Linked DNA regions of Tribolium castaneum. The main gene of each other region encodes a partner of the protein of the gene in region 2 in a complex. Links are inferred from orthologs where the notes say so. Each region holds a gene or a part of one and is shown on either strand. Other genes may lie near its edges.

What was found. The genes of interacting proteins can lie anywhere in the genome.
Region 1: the proteins of unextended protein (region 2) and PRL-1 are in contact, whole or in part, in a crystal structure (PDB 8CT8), measured with the Drosophila melanogaster proteins. The link is inferred for Tribolium castaneum from reciprocal best matches to the Drosophila melanogaster genes uex and PRL-1. Residues at the interface, in NP_001104390.2 of Drosophila melanogaster: Leu391, Val422, Thr423, Lys442, Cys445, Glu446, Gln449, Asn450, Pro451, Phe454, Phe456, Asp458, His480, Val482, Asn484, Gly488, Asp489, Pro490, Phe491, Tyr492; in NP_001260487.1 of Drosophila melanogaster: Asp32, Ile33, Thr34, Ile35, Asn36, His37, Asp77, Gly78, Cys109, Ala111, Leu113, Gly114, Arg115, Arg142, Arg143, Gly144, Ile146, Asn147, Gln150.

What each region holds. Positions count from the first base shown.
Region 1 is NC_087403.1:7,974,897-7,977,524, reverse strand, and holds the end of PRL-1 (PRL-1 phosphatase), read right to left. Parts: exon of another isoform or gene 2,570-2,628; intron 2,088-2,569; 5' UTR 1,910-2,087; exon of another isoform or gene 1,906-1,909; intron 1,853-1,905; 5' UTR 1,565-1,852; coding exon 1,442-1,564; intron 1,395-1,441; coding exon 1,096-1,394; intron 1,044-1,095; coding exon 932-1,043; 3' UTR 514-931; downstream 1-513. Other genes in the region: protein phosphatase methylesterase 1, read left to right, coding at 1-216, 259-410. UniProt on the Drosophila melanogaster protein: Probable phosphatase. Inhibits growth possibly by negatively regulating Src64B-induced growth. Regulates central nervous system circuit formation and stabilization of synapse-dense terminal arbors.
Region 2 is NC_087397.1:6,213,490-6,216,501, forward strand, and holds the end of unextended protein, read right to left. Parts: intron 2,743-3,012; coding exon 2,568-2,742; intron 2,521-2,567; coding exon 2,182-2,520; intron 2,136-2,181; coding exon 1,998-2,135; intron 1,952-1,997; coding exon 1,685-1,951; intron 1,634-1,684; coding exon 1,401-1,633; intron 1,358-1,400; coding exon 1,109-1,357; 3' UTR 548-1,108; downstream 1-547. Other genes in the region: probable E3 ubiquitin-protein ligase HERC1, read right to left, coding at 1-78. UniProt on the Drosophila melanogaster protein: Probable metal transporter. Acts downstream of PRL-1 and protects the nervous system against olfactory carbon dioxide stimulation.

The DNA.
Region 1 (2,628 bases), on a different chromosome or scaffold from region 2:
AGCCGCCGCTGCCTAAATCGGCAAAGACCGAGCCTGGGAGCGGCGAGGACGGCCCTAAGTACACCTGGAGGATTGATTTAAGTAAAACTGAGCGGTTTTGGACTGGTTGGTTTAAAGGGTTGTCGCAAAAATTTCTCGATTTACGCATTCCGAAATTACTTTTGCTTGCTAATATCCATGGCCTTGATACCGCCCTAACTGTGGGACAAATGCAAGGTAAACGCGTGACCTTGTTTCGGTTTTTAATTTCTGTTTTAGGCAAGTTTCAGTTGCAAGTGCTGTCAAAGTCGGGACATGCTATTCACGAGGACCAGCCCCACCAAGTGGCCGAAATCATTGGCGGTTATTTAGTCAAACAAAAAATTGCCAATGCTAAAGTGGATCTAGTCTGTCCAATGCCTGGTTGTTAATTCGTTTCGTTTATTTATTTTGTTTTTTCGTTCGTGTTCTTGTATTGAAAGTTCAATAAAAATGTATTCTTCCTAAGGACGGGTTTTGAAATGAGACGCTGTGTACCCATAATAATAAAATATATTTTTCCAGAAAGTCTACTTAAAAATGTGAAATCTAAGTGATCAACATGGTTGCAATGTAATTACAGACGAAAAATAATGCAGGACAATCAAAAGAAAATCGTCGTTAAAAAGCTGTCAATAAAATCAAACCTACTTTAAAATAAATAACGCTTGAAAATGGTTACAAAGAACTAGCATGTACTCGTCAATGGTAAAATTTGGAAAACACAGTCACTTAAATAAATAACCATATATACACAGTTATGTTAAAAGTTGAATTGCCTACTGCGCGATCGGCCAAACGAATGTTTACACAAAATAAGCATATTTTTGTATTTCACACAATTAGAGATAATAGGTATGATGAGTTAAGTGATCTGTTGCAATTTTATTGAACACATATATGTAATGACAGTTTACTGCACGCAGCATGAGTTTTTGTGTCCGTTCTTCAATTTCAGCCGAGATTTAGGACGGTATTTCTCAAGGAAACCTAATTGCTTGGCATTAATTGCACCTCGCCTTTTTCTGTAACAAAAACCAAATAAACGTGACAAAAAAAAAAAAAATGACGACATACTCTCGAATCAGCTCGACTGCTTCTTCATATTTGAGACCTAATTCTATGAGAGCTAAAGCGACCATTACCGGAGCCCTTCCTAAGCCAGCTATACAGTGAACGGCTACACAAGCATTAGGATTGTCATGAAAGTGCTTCTTCAAAATCTTGAACCACGCATCGACGATTTCGTTGGGTGGAAAGGTTCCGTCAGGATAGGAGAGATCGTAAACTTCGATGCCTTCGTTCTCGAGTTCGTCGACTTTATAGGAAGGTTGGCATACCCTGACTACCGCTGTAACTCTGTGCTTTTTCAGTTCCTGCGTAAGTAAAAAGTGATTTTTGGTTAAATTTGGTGCGAGCTGACCTGGATGTAAACATGAATTGTTTGGTCGGAAGGTCTGTCCGTGATAAGAAACTTGAATCCTTTGTGCTCGATCTCAGCTGCGGCAGGTCTTATGTCTTTCTGACGCATGGCTGTACTGTTCATTCCACAACAAGACACTTTCAAGTAACACTAAATGTGTTTAGAATATCAGAGTATCACTCTTGGAGATCAAATAAGCTATCTCCTCTATTATGGGCCAAAAGTGTATAGTTATAAAAAGAATTTCCACAAAATTATACTTTAAACTATATATCGGGAGTTTAAAGCAATATTTCAGTCTTTCAAATAAATTAACATAGGATTAATTTGCCTAGAACTTTTGAGTTATGTACACTATTTTTATACTTGATGATATGCTTATGCAAATATAGTAGATTGTAGGGAAGATAACTAAAATAAATAAATCGTTATTTTTAACTGAACTTTAATTCATCGCAAATTACCAACTCTTATTTGGCTCTTGTTGAGGTAATTCCAACAATGCTATGGCGATGATGCAAATGACTAAATTCAATGTTTATATAATCTTTTTTAATTTCCTGTTAATTTATTTGTGTTGAGCCTGGCAATATTCTGCGCTATCCAAATGGAACTCCATGTATGCGAGCACTGTCTCACCAAGGTACTGCAACAAAAACAATCTCAATTAGCAAGAATTCAGGACGGAAATAGAGATTACAAGCCAATCCATACACCCCATCCATCTGACCTTCGCTAATTATCATACATACAACGCTAACGAGTCTATAAATTAGTGGCGTCTTCATTGAAAACCTCGAAAAAGAACTTGTCACACAACAAATAATAATCACGCTTTCCAAAAAACATTTGAATTGGTGCCAAAGCGTTCCTTTTAATATAAACACATACTCGTGACAACAACGGAATCAATGTCACCTTCAATAAGCATAATTAGTATTTTTGCGTCAACAATAAGCAATCAAAAATCGGATATTCGTCCGATTTTTTATTGTTTTTTGAATTCCACTCCACGCCGTCCACAAAACACAACTGACGTGGGACATGGGGTTAACGGTTAACGTTCCTCGCGCCCAAAAACCATGAATTCGTAAAGAAAATCCAATCATTTTCACGCAAAAATCATACCATAGGTCCGCTGATTTAACCGTTTGTTTTGCTTTTTTGCTAATTGTCGCAGAACTTCA
Region 2 (3,012 bases):
ACTATCACAGTCTTTTAGCGACCAGCTGTTGTTAGTCTGGTCGATCCATTCCAGTTCAATATTTGATAAGTTCTCCATTGTGCGGAGCCCCAACTAGAAGGTTTCAGTCGTTGAACACCGCGTTATCTGTTCAGAAACATCAATGAATTGGGCCGAGCTGGGCGAAAAACAACAACAACATACCTGTTACATAACAAATAAAAAATCGTTCAACGTGGATTTAACTCGGAACACGAAAAATTTTATTTGTTGTTTTTCCTGTGCTTGGCAGATAACACACACTTGTCATTTTCTGCTCGGCCTGACATATGTTTACAGGGAACAGATTTATCGACTGAGCAATTTTAATTTTTACTGGAAATTTATAAAGAAAATTGCTTTGTACACAACTTTAAATAAATTTATTGACCAAAATAGCACGAGCGTTAACTACATATTTGATTGATGTAATCGAAGTTGTGTTTATTTGCAAATTTAAATTTTATAGGGAACTGCTCTACCGACTAGCATTTGAAATTTCCAGAACGCGGGAAATGAAACACATTCGTTAATCTTATCATTTATTCAAGTAACAAAACAAAAGTAAAATAAAAAAAACAGGAAACATAAAATTTGACACTTTAAATTGAAAACAAGTTTCAAAAATTGACAAAAACCTAAGTTACTTGGCTTAAGTAGAGTTTACAACGCTAAGTACTACTAGCAGAGGTATTGATTGTTAGAATTGTACACTTCGTAATTTAATTCTAAAAATAAAGATCAACAAAAATAAAATAAACACAGCGATTGCTTCACAGTATAAATTGTGACACTTGATTTTAATAAATAGTAATATAAAAATAATGGGCAATGTGGCGACGTTGTCCCGCCTATTACTCTACTAAGGAATCAGGCTAGTTTTTGTCAAACTAAAAATAAAACCATTTTGATAAAATTGTCACTATTTACGTATCAACTTGGATAATTTCAACAATTTCTAACGATAAAATTTCAATAAATATGCACCTACACGATGTTATAAGGTACGGAATTGTTATCACCCTAAACTAATCTTTAACAAATAAATTAAGTACAATCGTGACTCTCGACCAGAGCCAAAGTGTCTATGTTATGATTTTTTCGCCAAAAGCGAAACCTCCTCCTCTCTCGCATTATGGCAGTCCTCCACAGGACTCGCAATAATCGACCCGTTGATATCGTGACTCAACCGATGCGGCGGACTAACGTTCGAATAAATCGACGGTGTTTTGGGACTCAAATTCGCCTCCTGATTGTGATGCAGATTCTTCGACGACTGTTTCCGCGGCGTCCGTCGGCCGGCACTCTCCGTGTCATCCTCCTCCAGCGAGTGCAGAAGCTGCAACTTCAGTTAGCCAAGCCTCAAACACACAAACCCGAACCTTATCAACTTCCTCGTCAAACTGATCGTTGCTCTGCTGCAAGTCGCGCTGAGACCGCTCCATCAAAGTCGCTCTTTTGGCTGCCAAGTACAGACTGCGCTTTATACGAAGATAAATCACCTCATTGGAGGCCCGAACCGTGTAGTCTGGCTGGAAAGTGTGACGCAGCAAGGCGTCCAAATTCAGCGACTCTAAACTGCCCAGCGTCGAAGTGGGCGCCGAAGGACTCTCGGCTGAAAAAAACATTTGTAGAATTTTGCAGCACACTCGACGAGGTTCGTTACCAACTCCGATCGTTTGGACGAGGGCTTGAGTGCCGAAAAATGTGAAAGGCCCACCCTCAAAGGTCAAATTCTCTTTACCTATAGTCACCTCGACCCGGCCTTCGAGGATCAGGACGAAATAATCCGCATTCTTCCCTTGTTGGTAAATGACATTAGCTGGGTCAGTGCGCCACTCTTTGTTTTTTTTAATGTGGTAGATGATGTCTTGGCGCAAGAGACGTTTTAAAATCGTCTCAGATATTACAGTCGGGAGGAAAAGTTCAACGGCTGAATCAAACAACTCACTGTTTGCCCTAACAATATTGTTACTTACCAGTGCTCAAAAACTGATACGCTGCGAGAGTCAACTGTGGGCTGATTCGTATTTTACTGGGCTCGCCTTTACGTTCGGCAAAGACGCTAAAGTCTTGCCTCCTTTCGGCGTTTCTCCTCCGTTTCGTTCGATTGTCGGCTGTTAATTATTAATGCAAAATTTCACCACCACATGTCTTACTTACTGAAAACATCCGTCTCGTCCATGATCTCAGCCTGGATCAGCTCCTCGATCACATCCTCCAGTGTTATCAATCCAATTGTTTCATAAAACGGATCACCTTCGCCCTCGTTATTGACTCGATGGACGAACGCCATATGTCCCTTATTGCCTTCCTTGAATATGCGAAACATGACGTCAAGTGTAACGTCCTCGAAGACGAAATTGCACGGATTTTGATAGAATTGACACAGGGTTTTTAACGGCGTGTTGTCGTCGGGATCGACGAACGCCAAATCCTTAATGTAAAGCATCGTTACGATGTTCTGACGGTTGCCTTCGAAGACGGGAACTCGAGAGTAACCTAAAGTCGCAATTTAGCCGTTTCTTTTACGATTAAGTTTACTGAACCTGATTTCATAATTTCCGACACTGTCTCAAAATCTAAGATCGTGTTGTCGTAGTCCAACATGAACACGTCTTCGATTTTGGTCATTACGTCGGCGACGGTTTTCTTGCGGAGCTCGAGAGCACCGCTGATTATGTTCACTTCGTCTTTGTCCAAGTCATTTTCGCCGGTTGTGACCTGAAAATTTATTGACACTCGGCTTATCTCAAGTTACCGGTTTATTAATCAGAGAGGTGCTAAGCCGTTCAAAGAAACCGAGTAATAATGTACTTAAAATAGATATGACTTATCACAGGAAAAAATAGCGCAATTAGCATGTAATTTAAATTTATTTCTTTATTGTGCATTCGCATGCACGCGACTTCAAGATCGATATTCCGCCGCAGGTTTTTTCTTGAAATTTTCATTTTTAGGTTGGCTAGAAACCACACATTTAGGCAAACACAA